Schizosaccharomyces pombe: one gene and its partners. Changing the gene in region 2 together with the main gene of any one other region gives a genetic interaction. Each region holds a gene or a part of one and is shown on either strand. Other genes may lie near its edges.

The links.
Region 1: mutations in opa3 (region 2) and syj1 together harm fitness more than expected from each alone (negative genetic interaction), as found in Schizosaccharomyces pombe (2 studies listed by BioGRID).
Region 3: mutations in opa3 (region 2) and hop1 together harm fitness more than expected from each alone (negative genetic interaction), as found in Schizosaccharomyces pombe (2 studies listed by BioGRID).

What each region holds. Positions count from the first base shown.
Region 1 is NC_003423.3:3,434,375-3,441,397, forward strand, and holds syj1 (inositol-1,4,5-trisphosphate 5-phosphatase 1), read left to right. Parts: upstream 1-3,095; 5' UTR 3,096-3,178; coding exon 3,179-6,409; 3' UTR 6,410-6,523; downstream 6,524-7,023. Other genes in the region: SPOM_SPBC4B4.12C (uncharacterized protein), read right to left, coding at 1-186; plasma membrane pantothenate transmembrane transporter Liz1, read right to left, coding at 454-1,998; translocon beta subunit Sbh1, read right to left, coding at 6,748-6,847, 6,898-7,023. UniProt on the Schizosaccharomyces pombe protein: Controls the cellular levels and subcellular distribution of phosphatidylinositol 3-phosphate and phosphatidylinositol 4,5-bisphosphate. Involved in distinct membrane trafficking and signal transduction pathways.
Region 2 is NC_003423.3:2,931,917-2,937,609, forward strand, and holds opa3 (mitochondrial outer membrane lipid metabolism regulator Opa3), read left to right. Parts: upstream 1-2,774; 5' UTR 2,775-3,065; coding exon 3,066-3,173; exon of another isoform or gene 3,174-3,238; coding exon 3,239-3,396; exon of another isoform or gene 3,397-3,514; coding exon 3,515-3,905; 3' UTR 3,906-4,206; downstream 4,207-5,693. Other genes in the region: SPOM_SPBC1703.09 (uncharacterized protein), read left to right, coding at 1-311, 360-503; GTPase Ypt1, read left to right, coding at 1,073-1,083, 1,252-1,375, 1,427-1,474, 1,538-1,634, 1,794-2,125; ubiquitin hydrolase Ubp9, read left to right, coding at 4,295-4,321, 4,366-4,473, 4,523-4,536, 4,594-5,693.
Region 3 is NC_003423.3:3,469,486-3,474,669, forward strand, and holds hop1 (synaptonemal complex-associated protein hop1), read left to right. Parts: upstream 1-2,833; coding exon 2,834-2,928; exon of another isoform or gene 2,929-2,976; coding exon 2,977-3,124; exon of another isoform or gene 3,125-3,168; coding exon 3,169-3,337; exon of another isoform or gene 3,338-3,375; coding exon 3,376-3,616; exon of another isoform or gene 3,617-3,656; coding exon 3,657-4,047; exon of another isoform or gene 4,048-4,094; coding exon 4,095-4,320; exon of another isoform or gene 4,321-4,367; coding exon 4,368-4,684; downstream 4,685-5,184. Other genes in the region: cullin 1 adaptor protein Pop1, read left to right, coding at 1-2,185. UniProt on the Schizosaccharomyces pombe protein: Facilitates initiation of meiotic recombination and DNA double-strand break (DSB) formation at DSB hotspot sites by enhancing the interaction between rec10 and rec15.

The DNA of each region.
Region 1 (7,023 bases), 500 kb from region 2:
ATTTTCATTTGTTTCGTTCACGGGCTTCCATTCCCACTCTCCTGCCCAGATTAATTTAGCTTCAATTTTTTCTCTAGTCCTAATATATAAAAAATTTTCTTTTAGCTCCATTAAGTCTACACCATCGCTAAATTCCTTTAGGACTGATGTATACTCAATAACTTGTTGATCATTGCCGGATACCATCCAAACTATACGTATAGTTGGTATTTCTATTTAATGGTTATAAATTTTTAACTTCAGCTGCACCTTAAATCGTTTGTTAGCAGATTCTTTTTGAGTATGTGTGCAAAGGTATTCGTTTGCGTTTGCGTCAAAGGGCTTGGTCAATTAGATGAGCCAACTGTGGTAAATTTTTATGTTAGGTTGATATCAATATGAACAGCAAATTTACTCTAAATGTGTACTTAAAGGCATAAGGAATATTTATACTATGTCATTAATCTTCTAGTACTAATCTTGGGCATTCGTTTCTTTTGGCATGGAAATTCGCTGTCGCGTTATCACAAGCCCTGGAGAACTAATTTCTTTGACCGCATTAGTTGTGTTGAGTGATTCCTCATCATTTTTGCCTATTTTTTTTAACTCTAAACTTTCATGCTCAGTGAATACATCATCGAAATCTTTTGCATCCTGGATGGATCGTTTAATTCTTTTATCGCGGATTTGCATGTAACTAACAATACAAGAGCTAACAAAGACTATTCCTCCTACCACCAGCAAACCAATTAATCCTTTTATAAATCGAGGCGTATCAGTATTGGGATACATTATAGGTGCCCACCAAATATGCCAGATATTCTGACACATATTCATCAAAAACACAACAACTCCTCTTTCCTGATCATTATCCCGGCAAATGTCATTTGCCCAAGAAAACCAAACTGCTTGTCCAGCATATGTACAACCAGAAGCGAAATAAGCAAAGAATTTTGCGCCATCTGGCACGTTCCATGCTAGAAGTATTGTAGCAGAAACAGTAGTAATTACGCACAGAAAAAGTCCAAAAGGCCATCTTGGGTTTCCAGCTAATTTATCAGAAATAACACTAGCACCTAACGTTGATACTACGCCAACAGCTGTAATCACAGTTGGGTAATTATTTATTTGGGCAACAGAAAATTTGTTGCTCCATTTCATCCACTGACCCATCAATACATTGACAGCTATAGCTTGTGTTTCTCCGCTAAAAATCCAAAGGATGCACAAACCGTAAATTCGCCATGAACGTACAATATCCTTTATCGCTTTTAGCGTTAATGGCTTCTTCTTGGGGCGAGCGGGTAGCCTTTTGAAACTTAATTCTTTTTCTTGTTCTGTAAAATAAGGAGCCTTGGTTGTTTCTGGAACGTCAGGAAACAGAAAGAGCCCATATAATGAAAGAGGAATCGTCAAAATGCCATCAATTATAAAAAGCCAACGCCAACCAGATAAACCACCTTTACCATTTAATGATGAATGAACTGCTGTTTGCAAATACCCAGCAAACATTGTGCCGACTAAACCAGAGGCTGAAAAAATTCCGGCACGTTTGCATAGTTCACTTTCTTTGTACCATGCGCCCAATATATAATGCGTACCAGCAAATGTAGATGCCTCCGCAACCGCCATGAAAAAGCGTAAAATCATCAATGCTCGAACGGAATGTACCGCAAATGAAAAAATCGTCATAAGTCCCCATAAAATATTCATAACCGAAAACCAAAGTCTTGCTGGTACTCTCTGTAATGCATAAGAACCTGGCAATTGTCCTATAATGTATCCACATGTAAAAACAACGTTTATATCTTGCAATTCATTACCATGCATTTTCAAATCCTCTTGCATACCACTAAGGTATGCATTGTTTATTGATGATCTATCCAAGTAATTAATAAAATATGAAACGCAACAGTAAGAAAGTATGAACCAATCTATTTTTATTAAAAGCTTTTGTTCAACTTTGTTTAATCCATAATAAGGGGAAAAGGTTTTTGCCAACCTATTTAGTAACGCCATTACGACTTGTCTCACTTATGAAATATTCACGACAATTTACAGAGGAGACCTAACTTAAATTTTTATGGCTTTAGAAAACGTACAATTTCAATGGATTCTCATGAAAAGTGCCTATATTAAAGTAAAGCCAGGGACCTAAGCAAGGAACAAACACTTCGAGTCAAAATCGAATTGCAGACTGTTGGAATATCAATATGCTCCAGCCAGGAAAATTTTTTCTTTAATTTTTCTGAAAAATCAAGATTATAAGTATCGATCGAGCCTTCTAAAAAGTGACAATATCAATGCCGGAAACCCAATCTTAATTTTTAGATGTGCGCTGATTACTCGGAATTGGCTAGCAAGTTGGATACTTATTCTCGACGTAGCCACAATGAGTACTATACTTTGCTGCTCTATTTGTGGAAATTAACTGTATTGCAAAAAACATCTAACCTTTCAATTAATAAGCATTCGGTTCAAGTGGCTACAATACAATAACCACTATTTGCGAGATTAAACATACTATTACAGTAACCAACACATTTGAAATGTAAAAAATTGCCATAGTTGAAGCTATTCAGCGTCAGCGAACATCTTCGGAGAGCTCAAATAATCTTAGCTCTTAAGATGGGGGTTTTTTCTGCCGAATACTGTATCTGTTTGACTTTTATTTTTAATACGTTGGAGTAACCGCTGTATTCTTGTGCAACTTGGTGTTTTTGAAATTAACAATGGCACTGTTGATGAACGAAAGTGAATTATAATACATTTTTTGACAGTACCAATCTTATGGAAGTGCCTTGAAATCCTGTTACGTTACGTTTTAGCAAGATCGCTTCTCTTATGATTTTCTTGTTTCAATGGTTTTCTACCCATAATCAATGAAATATGTTTACAAGGGTTACGAGTTTTGTAAAGCAAATGCACTTTAAAAATTGACCAGAAACTTCCATATATTAGAACCAAAATTTTTTGGAATACATTTTAACATAGTAAATTAAAATAAGCCGTTTACTTATTCTAATTTACAGAAGCGCTTCTATAATGTTTAAGTAACGAACGTTTTTGTCACCCAACACCACCCAACTTCGTATCCCAAGATTTATAACTTGTTCGGACAAACATCGTTGGTAAAGACTTGCATCGTTCATTACAGAACGAATTTTATTATTTATAGTTCACATTTGTGAATCTTAAGATGCAATGTCTGCTGAGGGAAAAGCCAAGATCCTTGGCCTTAGTCAATAAGGACCATGCTCTTATGTTTCATTCGGTTCCTCAGAACAAAAACTCTTTATCAGTATGTGTTGCAGAATTTACGGCATTGTCAGAAAAGCCGTTAGAAGGATTTCGAAAAATCTCCAGTCATCGAATTTATGGTACTCTAGGTCTGATTGAATTAGAAGGGTCCAATTTTTTGTGCGTGATTAGTGGAGCTAGTGAGGTAGCACGTGTGCGAGATAAAGAAAGAGTTTTTCGTATCATGGAGGTCTGCTTTTACAGTGTTAATCGTTCAAACTGGGATCACATTCGACAAGAAAATTACTCGCCTGATATTCCGGATGGTTACGATACCGATACCCAAGGCTATGATTCTTACAAGTATGCCGCTGAACCATTCAGTAGTCTCAGAAAGCTATTAACAAATGGATCATTTTACTTTTCTCTCGATTTTGACATTACTACCCGACTGCAACTTCGTACGTCTCAAACAATGACGGAGCCTCAATATGATAGCATGCATACTCAATTTATGTGGAACGAATTTATGCTTAGACAGTTGATCAAATTTCGCTCCCATTTGAATGGGGATGAAAAGAGTGCATTGGATGGATGTCGCTTCTTTACATGTGCCATCAGAGGTTTTGCGAGCACCGAACAATTTAAGTTAGGAATTCAGACTATTCGGCTTTCTTTAATATCTAGACTGTCTTCGCTTCGCGCTGGTACCCGATTCTTGTCACGTGGCGTAGATGATGATGGAAACGTTGCTAACTTTGTTGAGACGGAGACAATCCTCGATTCCTCTAAATACTGTGTAAGCTATTGTCAGGTCCGTGGCAGTATTCCAATTTTTTGGGAACAAGAAGGTGTTCAAATGTTTGGTCAAAAAATTGATATAACTCGCTCTTTAGAAGCAACTCGAGCTGCTTTTGAAAAACACTTTACCAGTCTTATTGAAGAATACGGACCAGTGCACATAATCAATCTTTTAGGGACAGGTTCGGGAGAACGCAGTTTATCTGAGCGTCTGAGACAGCATATTCAACTTTCTCCGGAAAAAGATTTAATACATTTAACGGAGTTTGACTATCATTCTCAAATTAGATCCTTTGAAGATGCCAATAAAATACGCCCAATGATTTATAGCGATGCAGAAACTTTCGGGTTTTATTTTGAGAACAACGAAGGACAATCCATTGTGGTACAAGATGGTGTTTTTCGCACCAATTGTTTGGATTGCTTAGACCGAACAAATGTTATTCAGAATCTTGTTTCAAGAGTGTTTTTAGAACAAGTTATGATATATACTCGGCAAAATGCTGGTTATGATTTTTGGCAAGTTCATTCAACGATTTGGGCAAATAATGGTGATGCCTTAGCTCGCATTTACACCGGAACAGGAGCACTTAAATCTAGTTTCACTAGAAAGGGAAAGTTAAGTATAGCGGGTGCACTTAATGATCTCTCTAAAAGCGTCGGCAGAATGTATATCAATAACTTTCAAGATAAGGGGCGACAAGAAACAATTGATTTGCTTCTTGGCAGATTAATTGACCAACATCCTGTTATTTTGTATGATCCAATTCATGAGTATGTTAACCATGAGCTGAGAAAAAGAGAAAACGAATTTTCTGAACATAAGAATGTCAAAATTTTTGTTGCTAGTTATAACTTGAATGGATGTTCTGCTACTACAAAGTTAGAAAACTGGTTATTTCCCGAAAACACACCTTTGGCAGACATCTATGTGGTTGGATTTCAAGAAATAGTGCAATTAACTCCGCAGCAAGTAATAAGTGCTGACCCAGCCAAACGTCGTGAATGGGAGTCATGTGTCAAACGCTTATTAAACGGTAAATGTACATCTGGACCTGGATATGTTCAATTACGTTCTGGACAACTGGTTGGTACAGCACTAATGATATTTTGTAAGGAGTCATGTTTGCCCAGTATCAAGAACGTGGAAGGAACGGTTAAGAAAACTGGTCTTGGTGGAGTTTCCGGAAACAAAGGTGCTGTTGCCATCCGATTTGATTACGAAGATACCGGTCTTTGTTTTATTACTTCTCATTTAGCAGCGGGTTACACAAATTACGATGAAAGAGATCATGACTATCGAACTATTGCTAGTGGATTAAGATTTAGGCGTGGTCGTTCCATATTCAATCACGATTATGTGGTATGGTTTGGTGACTTTAATTATCGTATTTCATTGACATATGAAGAAGTCGTACCTTGTATCGCGCAAGGGAAGTTAAGTTACCTTTTTGAATACGATCAATTAAATAAGCAGATGCTTACCGGAAAAGTCTTTCCGTTTTTTTCAGAGTTACCGATTACCTTTCCTCCTACGTACAAATTTGACATAGGAACAGACATATATGATACCTCGGATAAGCATAGAGTTCCTGCCTGGACCGATCGTATTTTATATCGTGGAGAATTAGTTCCCCATAGTTATCAATCTGTACCTTTGTACTACTCCGATCATAGACCCATTTATGCCACATATGAAGCAAACATTGTTAAAGTTGATAGAGAGAAGAAAAAAATACTGTTTGAAGAGCTTTATAATCAGAGAAAGCAGGAAGTTAGAGATGCTAGTCAGACTTCTTATACTCTGATTGATATTGCTGGGTCTGTTGCGGGTAAACCTAATTTAATTCCCCATCTTCCTGCCAATGGAGTTGACAAAATTAAGCAACCAAGTAGTGAACGTAGTAAGTGGTGGTTTGATGATGGTCTCCCTGCGAAGTCAATAGCTGCTCCTCCAGGCCCAGAATATAGGTTAAATCCGTCGCGTCCTATCAATCCCTTTGAGCCTACCGCAGAGCCCGACTGGATATCCAACACAAAACAATCATTTGATAAGAAATCGTCATTAATAGACAGTATCCCCGCATTAAGCCCGGCACCTTCTTCGTTGGCCAGAAGCAGTGTTAGTTCTCAACGCAGCTCAACCTCAATTATTCCCATTAAACCCAACAAGCCAACTAAACCAGATCATTTGGTTGCTCCAAGGGTAAAACCATTGCTTCCACCTCGGTCTGGTTCTTCCTCTTCTGGTGTACCGGCACCCAACTTGACACCCGTTAATGTTCCTCCCACTCCTCCTCCTCGCAAGTCTTCTGCTTCTCAACGAAGCGGTGATTTACTTGCTTCTTCACCTGAAGAAAGCAGTATTTCTTGGAAACCGCTTGTGTAATCTTTAAAATTCTCGTAATATACTTGGACGGCTTTAATTTTAGGTGCAAATACTTTTCTGCCATTTTTAAAAACATTTATCATTGCAATATATAAACACCGCCATTGCTCCAGATTACTTAAAAGGGCAATACGATGCCATGAAACATACACCATGTACATTATTAGAAATTCTTTACAAATATTTAAAAGAACTACTGCTTATGGGCGTCAACCTATGTTACTAATGCCGTAAATGTATAGATAGCTCAATTCAGTCAGCTAATCATAAAATTCACAGGTAAAAGATGGTATTTGAAGTTCTTCCAAGTGAAACGTTAAATTTTTAGAAACTGTAAATTACTCTGAAGCAAATTTCTTAAGGATTCTGGCAACGATATGCAACAAGAACACACTGGCAATGAAACCAACGCTTAATACCATCACTACAACGGGGTCACTTAATTAACGTTAGAAAAACCTTAATAATGATTGAGTTTAACGGCTTACACTTTAAATCCACTAGCCTCATCAGTGTATAATTTCAATAAGGTAGGGGTTGAACCAGGAGCGCCAGCAGCACGAGCTCCAGCAGGACCAGAGTTACTTTCTTTTGTGTTCTTTTCAACAGCAGCA
Region 2 (5,693 bases):
TTGACCGTTCTAACAAAATATCTCCTATCACGTCTCAGTTAACTATAGAACCAAACAAATCTCAAACCATTGTTAAGAAGAATCCAGATAATTTAATTTTCGTTGCAGTTAACCAAAACGTTCAACTACAATTATCAATATTAAAGCAACAACAGAACAGAGTTGCTGCTATGGAATCAGCATTACAGCGAATTCATCTAGAAATTACTGCGATGTCAGAACAATTGATTTTGCAAAAGTATCAAAAAAATCGGTTCTTTTTCATGTCATCTATTAACGCTCTTATTCGAATATCTCGAAACTGTATAAAGGTAAGTGTGCAATATATTCTTTTGGAAGTTCTTATCTTAACAAATTAGTTACTCTTTAAGAATTCTTTGGTGCTTTTAGCTGCTTGTTATTTCATGAATACGACCCCTTCAAGATTGGTCATAAATCTAATTCGTTCCGGTTACCTTATCTTAAAGCGATTCGCAAATCCGAGCTATATCTCATTTTATTAATTTTCTTTATGTTGTACATTATTATATCTATACCTCTTCTAATTTGAACCCCTTACTTTAATGTTGGCAACTCTACAGTCTTGACATAAATATACATGTTTCCGTACTTAACTGTCATCAAAATCTAGAAAAGACTCATGTTTTTGTTACTCTTACTTTTTCAAGTATTTTTTTTTCCGTTATGACATATTATTTTCTCTGTTTTTAAGGAAGTATGTACTATTGTAGTCGCGATTTTGGCGTTCGTTTGTACAGTATGGATTTTAGTTAAGTATATTTACAATTTAAGATTGACTGTAAAAACTACAAAAAGTTATAATTTTATATTAATTAACTTGAGTGAAGCCTTTGTCTGCACATATAATATATTTGTTTTGAAAACATATGAAATACTACGGAAAGTTAAGATACGCTAAACGAAATAACGATACTTAATATAATTAGCAGCATGATAGTAAAAGATTTGCCCGTGAGCATTCTTTGGGCTGTAGGGTCCCCCACTCCGCTGCGTTGGTATATGCGTAGACTGAAGCGAGCAACAGAACGTCCGCCATTACTGTGCATATACGATGAATCCAGAGTAGTAAGGATTTAGCATACTATTCAATACATCAGGAGCTAGAAATTAACAATTTATAGAGTATTTTCTTTCCAAAATTAAAGAATTCTTGTAAATTGGGCGATATAATTGCTAATCAATAGGTAATGAGTTTTTTTACCGTAAGAAGATGAATGCTAATATTAATAGATACGACTATCTCTTTAAGCTTTTACTTATTGGCGACTCTGGTGTCGGTAAGAGTTGCCTTCTTCTACGTTTTGCCGATGACACTTATACTGAATCCTATATCTCTACTATCGGAGTTGATTTTGTACGTCCGTTTTCAAGCAGCTTAACCATATTTATTGCTAACTTTTTTTAGAAAATCAGAACTTTTGAATTAGAGGGAAAGACTGTTAAACTTCAAATCGTAAGTGATAGTTTACTTCTCGTTGGCGTTCCGGGATATTTTTTTATTAACGATTTATCATAGTGGGATACCGCTGGTCAAGAACGTTTCCGTACAATTACTAGCTCATACTATCGTGGAGCTCATGGAATTATCATCGTATACGATGTTACCGATCAAGGTATGTAATGTGTGAAGTATGGAAAACCAATTTGATTGTCTTCCGTTTTCTGTATATGCGCGTATATGCGTTATAAGGCGTTTGGGGGATATTTTTATGGCGTTTTCTAGTCTTCACATTGTTTCCGACGCGGTTCCGAGGCTAATGCTTGCTTCTTAGATTCTTTCAACAATGTTAAGCAATGGCTTCAGGAAATAGATAGATATGCCGTTGAAGGAGTCAATCGTCTTCTTGTAGGAAACAAGTCAGATATGGTTGATAAGAAGGTTGTTGAATATTCTGTTGCTAAGGAGTTTGCTGACAGTTTGAATATTCCTTTCCTCGAAACGTCTGCTAAAGATTCTACAAATGTTGAGCAAGCTTTCTTAACTATGTCCCGTCAAATTAAGGAACGTATGGGAAATAATACATTTGCCTCTTCCAATGCCAAATCTAGTGTCAAGGTTGGTCAGGGCACTAACGTTTCCCAAAGTTCCAGCAACTGCTGCTAAACTACATGTTTGTTGGTTATACCTCTGAATGCGCTTTTAATATATTTTTATATACATACGTTTTACGTACTTCGCTGTCATTCCTTTTGTGAGTTTCATTCGCTGACGGTGAACTGCTAATATTAGGTATCTACTTTCTGAGTTTTTACGATACTTATAGAAAGTTATTTGTAGGTTTGGATGCATGCTACGTTTCCCTTTTATCAACGGTAGTTTAAAATCTTAAGCAAAGCTATGTAGAAAACTGCTAGTCTTATGTACTTTATTTTGTAGCGTGATATGATAAACTGTTGTAAACGTTGTATAATACGCGTATTGCTCATTAACTAGCACTTTACAGTATTCCCTAAAACTATAGTTGCTTGGAACTATTTGCATAACATACGGTTCGCTAACAAAAGTCATTAACTAAAAATCAAATATATAATAGTAAGTCAAAGGTTGAATGGTATGTACGTTACATTAAGAAATGAAAATACAACTGTACTACTAAGGACAAGTATTGATAACTGCGACACTAAAGTTTCTAATACAAGCAAAATATTAAGCACACACAGGGATCGGTGTAAGAAGGATTAGTAAACCAATCAGAGAAACCGACAGAATATGCATATCAAGTTCAGCAACATCAAATTTACTTTCCTCTTCCAATAACTTTTCTAATTAATAGATTAAAAAAATAAAGCACGCACTTGGTGTTGCGGTTTTAAATATTGCTATTGATTAACGGAAGAGTATATCTTCGACCTTGCATAAATATCCTAGCTATTGTTACACGCTTATATCTGCATTCTAATTTTATCGGAGATTTCTTTCTTTTATACCTCTATTTAATTGAGGTGGTAGTACTTTTAGTCGGTAATTTGAAATCCTTTGCGGGTTTATTCCCCCTCGAATATTTTTGAAGTTCTGGTATCCATTAACATTTCTCTACAATCCAATGTCTTCTCTAGCCTTAAAAATCGGAAGCTTGTTAGTAAGAACATTATCCAAACCGATTGCCAATACAATCAAAGCCCAAGCTAAAGAGCACAAGGCTTTCCGAAAGGTATAAATCAGTAAAATAGATGATAAAGAGAATCTTATAGCATTACTAACGAAATTTCTATATAGGCATGTATTGAATTTGCTCAATGGATGCATCGCGCGGAATTTAGAATAACAGGAATTAACAGAGCTAAAAGTGGAGGAGCTAATGTACGATTACGACCTTTAAACGATGCCAAAGCAGTCGATGCTGGTGCAACATTTTTATCAGAAACTTTTATATTGTATGAAAATTAATACGATTTGACGTACTTCCTCTCCACAATGCTTAATACGGCACATTGTGAAGGAGCTACGAAATCCAACTTGTCACAATGTTCTTCTCTTGCTAACAATTTACAGTACTGTTGCTGGAGGAGCCATTTTATTTGAAACATGGAGGGCTCGTAGAAAGGAAAAGAATAGACGAGATGAAGTTGCTGAAGCGATTCTTGGTTTACAACATGAAATCGTTCGTATTAACGAAATCATGGAAAAGCAGTTTGTTTTACAGAAGAAAAAGAATGAACTCCAATCTTCGACTGAGGAAATTGATAGTACCGAAAAGGATTTTGACGAACTCCACAAAGTCATTCTTAAAGTTGAACGTGAGCTCCATACTCTTCGTCAAAACACGCCAAGTCAGAACGAGCAAGCAGAAGCCACTCCTTCAAAGGAAATCCCACGTGAAACAGTCTCAGAAAAGGCAGATCATCCTCCATCTTCTAACACCAAATCGGTTTCTACAGGTTAGTGGATGGTGAATACTACGATTACACATAACTTGCATTAATGAGTAAATTTTGATACATTGCAGAAATTCATCTGTTCCCATTTCACCAAACTGATGTTTACTTTCTTTTAATTTATTGTACATTTGATACTTCGTTTAACCAGATCACATTTCCAAAATTAGTTACGGTTTATTTATAGCTTTTTTGACTTAATATCTACTGAGTTTTATCGCTCATTTTACAATACATTGCACTTCGTTATTTTAGATAGTTGGCTGTTAATATAATAATAGCCTAAGATTATGATCACCAACGTACGCCCCTTTCTGAGCGCGTGAAAGCTTCCCTTTGCGTTCACTTCCCCGCTGTGCTTGGTTTGTAAACTTAGCATCCTTTAGTTCAACTCAGCATGTCGCTGCTTCGTTGGATGGGAATGGTAATTCAATTGTTAGTTATGAATTGAAGACTGACAAACTATAGAATTCCCCAGGCTCCACTGACCGGCGTAAAAGCACTTGGGAAGCAGAGTTGCCGAAGCCATCAATTCGCCCTGAAACCCTAACAGATCGATTCTATGGTTTAACAAATGTAAGCATTTTTATTAGTTATAATTTCTTCTGCTCTAACATATTTTTAGTATGGAAATACATGGTATGGCGATCATACTTGTAGCGTTGCTTTTATGATTGTAAATTTCTAACGAAATAGTTACGTGAGTTCTGTCTTAGTATCTTTATACCATTTAAAGCCCTTTCGTGATTCTTTAAATTCGTATCCTCTTCCGAGTGCTCCTCCAAATTTTAAAAGCGTTTGTACAAAAACCAACCATCCTGAATCATCTTCCTCACGACACAGTAAGAAAAAGAGCATGGAGAATAGGAAGTCCTCTTTATACGGGTCCAATGGTATAAATTCTTGCGGCTGTGTCGATATTAGTAACGTCGGCTCTGAATCCGGGACGAAGCATCAAATCGTTGTAGGCGAAAGCAATTGTTCTGCTTATGGAATGAAAGAAAACATATATACTTGTTTAAAGGATCTTTATTGCTCCGTAAGTTGCTGTGATTGTCGTTATGGTATTTGTTCTCCCGAGCGTTTTATCCAAGTTCTACGTAGAGACAATGAAGCTTTTCGCAGTACTCAGCAGCAAGATGCTCACGAGTTTTTTAATTTTCTTCTTAATTCTGTTACAGAAACTCTTGATGAATACTACGGTAATCATTCCGACGTGATGCATCCAAAATGGGTTCATTCTTTGTTTGAAGGAACGCTTACCAGCGAGACGAAATGTTTAACTTGTGAAAACATAACGTCAAGGGATGAAAGCTTTTTAGACCTTAGCATAGATATAGAAAATCACACTTCTGTAACTTCCTGTTTAAGGTCTTTTTCTGCTTCAGAGATGTTGTCCTCCAAAAATAAGTTTCATTGTGATGTTTGCAAAAGTTTGCAGGAAGCAGAAAAAAGAATGAAGATAAAAAAATTACCGAAAATCCTCTCATTACATTTGAAACGTTTTAAATATAACGAAACCCAGGAGGGCCATGATAAACTCTTCTATACTATTGTTTTTACCAACGAAATGAGATTATTTACTACCACCGAAGATGCAGAGAATGCTGAAAGAATGTATTATCTTTCCTCTGTTATTGTTCACGTAGGAGGCGGTCCACATCGTGGTCATTATGTGTCTATCGTTCGCACTAAAACTTATGGCTGGGTCCTTTTTGATGACGAGAACGTAACTCCTGTCAACGAGAATTACCTACAACGATTTTTTGGTGATCAACCTGGTCAGGCTACTGCCT
Region 3 (5,184 bases), 540 kb from region 2:
AGATCTCCTGGAAGGAAATAATATAATGACCAGAATTCCCGAGGAGCTTAGTCGTGTTAGTCTACAATTTGATAGCAAGGGAAGTCAGCAATCGATGATATTTACTAACAATCGATGTTTATCTGATAAAGAAAATTTGGAAAACTTGCAAAATCTTTTATATCTACATTGTGATCTTAACCGGCCCCATTTGAGTTGTGAGCTGCCGTCAGAGCATCGCGAAAAGTGCCTTAAACGCCGTAACTCTAGTCTCAGCTCTAATTTGCATGCTAATAAGCGGTTTCTCTTCAATTCTCAAAGTGATGGGAATAAAAAGAATGAAACTTTTCCTTCTACTAACTACTCGAACGTTTTCTACCCAAACAACTGTGACAGTAAGGAAGTCGCTAGTGAAACAACATTCTCACTTGATGCACCAAATAATTCTGTTAATTACTCTTATTTTTCTCCTAATTTACTCGGCAACGATTCCAAAACCCGTCAATCTTTTCCCCCTCATTCATCTTCATCTTCACATAATTCTTTGCATGAACCTGTCATATATGATTTTTCTTCAGAAAATCCTAGCATTCATCCTTCTAATCATTTGAGCTCTCAAAAAAATGCTGTTTTGAAATTAGCACAATTAATTTCTTCCTTCGAAAAATTACCCGAAAGTGTTCGTCAATACTTACTTTTTCATCTTCTTTCTCGATGTGGAAAACATGCTGTTCAAAATATTCACAAAATTCTGCTTCCTATCTTTCAAAAGAACTTTTTAACTGGATTTCCGGCTGAGATTACAAATTTAGTGCTTACGCATTTAGATGCACCTTCATTGTGTGCAGTTTCGCAAGTTTCGCATCACTGGTATAAGTTGGTATCGTCCAACGAAGAACTTTGGAAAAGTCTCTTTTTAAAAGATGGTTTCTTTTGGGATTCAATTGATAGTAAAATCCGTACGATGTGTTTAGAACAATCTTTGTCAGCCTGTGCGATAATGAAGCGGGTCTATTTTAGACATTTTAATCTTCGTGAAAGATGGCTCCATGCCCCGGAGAAAATTAAGCGATGTTCATTCCCAATTCATGGAGTTCGTCTTATTACCAAACTTCAGTTTGATGATGACAAAATAATTGTTAGCACCTGCAGTCCTAGAATTAATATATATGACACGAAAACAGGTGTCCTGATACGCAGTTTAGAAGAGCATGAAGGTGATGTTTGGACTTTTGAATACGTTGGGGATACTTTGGTTACTGGCTCCACAGACAGGACAGTAAGAGTCTGGGACCTTAGAACCGGTGAATGTAAACAGGTGTTTTATGGACACACGTCAACAATCCGTTGTATCAAAATAGTTCAAGGCAATCAAAGTACTACTGATACTGATGATGTGGAAAAAGAAAACAGACCAGCTTCAAATGATGCTAATTCAATGCCTCCGTATATAATTTCAAGTTCAAGGGATTGTACGATCCGTTTATGGAGTCTTCCATGCCTTGACGATCCACCATTTGTTAATGTAAATGAAAATCCTGATCAGAATAATGACTTTACTTCAGCTACGACCAATCCGTTTTACATCCGAACATTACGTGGTCATACGGACTCGGTACGTGAAGTTGCTTGTCTTGGAGATTTGATTGTCAGTGCCAGTTATGATGGTACTCTTAGAGTATGGAAGGCATCTACTGGCGTTTGTTTACATGTTCTTCGGGGACACGTCGGGAGAGTATACAGTGTCACAATTAATCCTTCTCGTCAACAATGTATCAGCGCTGGTACGGATGCTAAAATTCGTATTTGGAACCTTGAGTCTGGAGAACTTCTACAGACCCTTCATGGTCATTCGAATTTGGTAAGTCAAGTTACATTTAACCAAAATATCTTGGTATCCGCTTCTGCTCCTCCTGATACATCGTTGAGAGTTTGGGATCTAAACACCGGAAGTTGTCGAGATATTTTAAAATGTCCTTTGGGACACATATTTTTTCAACACGACGAGAGCAAAGTTGTCAGTGGAAGCCATAGTACGCTACAGTTATGGGACATTCGTTCCGGAAAGTTAGTAAGAGACCTATTGACTGATTTGGATATAATCTGGCAAGTTGCTTATAATGAAAATGTATGTGTGGCTGCTGTTTTAAGAAATAACCGTTTTTGGATCGAGGTCCTAGAGTTTGGATCTACTAAATCTTCTTGAGCTTTTATAAGTTGAGATACTAGAAATCTATAAAAGATCTCGAAATTTTATTTTACGTTTCCAAACTGAAATAGATTCATGCTATTTATTCTGGAAACTCCTCTATCATATAATATTTGTCTAATTGTTTGTTGACTTTTAAATGTTTACTCATAATTTTCTTTTTTAAATATCTAATAAGAATGCAAAATAATATTTTTTTAAATGATCTATTCTACATTTATAAATTATTTAGTGTTAAATTCGTTTGTTGAGGCCAAAATTTTTTTACCAAAGGGATAAGCGAATTTCTTGAATCCTTAGCTTCAAATAGCGTCCATTCTACCCAAAAGCGTACTATATTTTTATAATTAGCAAACTATAGTAAATAAAAAAACAAACATTTTAGCTTTGTAAATGTAAAAAGACATTTAATTTAACAAAAGGCTTTTACATTACTTCATAAGCTACCAAATGTCTTCATCGTAAAACATGCTTTTCGCATTCCATTTATCTATGTAAGCCATTTTAGTGTAGTTTAAAGTGTTGGAAAACCACAGGTGGGACTGTAATATACGTACACTTAAGACGCGTTCGACGCGTTCACAAAATTACCATATATAGATATCAACTTATCAAATACCCTTTACTTCTAAGTATAAATGACAAATGAATTCATACAAAGAGGAAATTCTGCAAACTAAGTCTGACTTTACTCTTAAAAATTTAATTTTCTTCGCGATATCAACATTATGCTATAAGCGGTACGCAGACATATAATTTTTAAATTAAAATAGCTAACAGAAGGCAAGTGCTCTTTTCAATGAAAACTGCTACAAGAAAGTCAATTTCGAAATTGAACATTTTAAAGGAGCTGACTTTGATTGTCAATTGAAACCTACTGTGGTTTCTTTACAAGCTGGAGTGGACAAAGAAGCAGACAGTTTTTTGGAAATGATGGTGAGTGTTTAAAACTTATCTAAAGAAATAAACTAATATTTTAGAAAACTTATATTTTCTCACTTGTATCAATGAAAGTTCCATTTACTGTTTACCTGATTATTTCGTCACAATGCAAGTCAATATTAGAGGATGACGCGGTTGAAAAGGAGATATTTTCATTTACAATTAACCCTGGAAGTGAAGAGAAAATATGTTGTGAGTCTTTTGTTTGTAAATTTTTTAACAGACTTCATGAGAGTTTTATCAAGCTTATCAACGTTCAGAAAGGTTTGTAATAAAGTTATTTTTAAGTGGTAACGTAAAAACAGAGTGCAAAGACGAAGAAAAAGTCGTACAAATTATTACAAAAATGGAACGCTTTCAATTATCAAAAGGAGAAGCAACTAAAGCTGGCGTGTTTTTAAATACCGTAGAAACAAAAGATTGCATGTCTTGGCTCAATCGAGGAGAATTCAAAGATATTGTATCTTTTTATGAATCAAACAATGGGTAAGTAAATTAAAACAAATTTCAAGTTACTAATCTATAGTATTGCGATTTCACATTGTTCTCATGCATTTGTACCGATAAGTACAGAGAAGATCATGATTAATAAAGAATCATCATTATTTGATTCTCAAGAAAAAATTGATTCTCAGCTCGAAAAGTTCCTCCAGCCTTTGAAATACGATGAAATAGGCTCAACTCAAATATTGGATGAACAATCAGTTGAAAAAAGTTTGAGTCAAGGAAAATGTGAGAAAATGCAGAATGAAAGTCGTGGATTAAGGGAAATAAAAAATAACAATCCTTGTGAAGAAGTAAAGAAAAGCAATTGGTTAAAAAAAAACATTTCAGGGAGTGACAAAGTTGACAAAGCCGAAAAGAAAAAAGCACTTTTGAATTGTGAATGCGGTGATTCGACGGAAGACTCAGAAATGGTGTGTAATCGTTTATACCTGCTAAAGACTAACAATATTTTACACAGTTTCAATGCGAAAGATGTGATGGATGGGTTCACTGTGCTTGCTATGGATTTGAGAGTGACTCTGATCCTCGCCAACCAAACCAATTGTTATGTTATACATGTTTGTTAGTTGATTCTGAATCTAGTTTGTATGACCGAATGACCATGTTGGTCGCATACAGACGAGCAATTCGGTGTATTTGGGCGTCAGAGTATCAAGGGTTCCAAAAGCTAGCGGCGCGACTGAGTAAGGAAATTTACCAACTCATTGACCATATACTAACATTATCTAAGATTGCAGCTATGCTGATGCCAAAAGAATTGAAGAAAGATTAGTTAACGAAAACATAATCTATAAGGAAAAAAAACGAAAATGGATATATTTTACGAATAAAAGCCCTGAAATGGTGTCATATCTTCGTGAGAAGTATTTTACACCGTCGCGATGGATATCTCATCTGAATTTTCAAAATTATCGTCAAGAGAATCAACGTGTAAATATGCGATCTTTTCTACGGCCCGAAAGAATGGAAGTAATAGAAAGACCAAAAAAGGTTTCTAAGACTTCAAACACTAAAGAGACAGACACCATGAAACCTCTGAGGATTTAAACTTATACGACTTATCCTATCTTCAAACAATTTGAGATGGATCAGTATTGCATCTATTTGCTCAAACTATTAATTTAAACTTACATAATATATTTATTATTAGCTATACTACATTATTACCATAAATAACATGTTCTGTTATCATCCGTTAGATATGAGACAATATTCATACAAACTCATTTTCTTGTCGTAGATAACTATGCTTACGACATTATAAATAGGCGGTAATTGAAATGAGGAATGAGGTTCAGTTATGAGCTTATACGAACATGAGATATGAATATAGACTTCATACAAGAATCATGCATACCACTATAAACTAGATCACAAGTAAATTTTATCGCAGTTCTACGCAGCGCTAAACGAATACGAAATTGCGTAGCTAATTTAAGCACTTCTTGAATTGCATTATGTGTGAATAGTGTGGTGATTTGATGTCAAAAAAAAAAAGTATAGAACGTTACACATTAGACTTGAACTTTTCCATTTGATACTGAAGT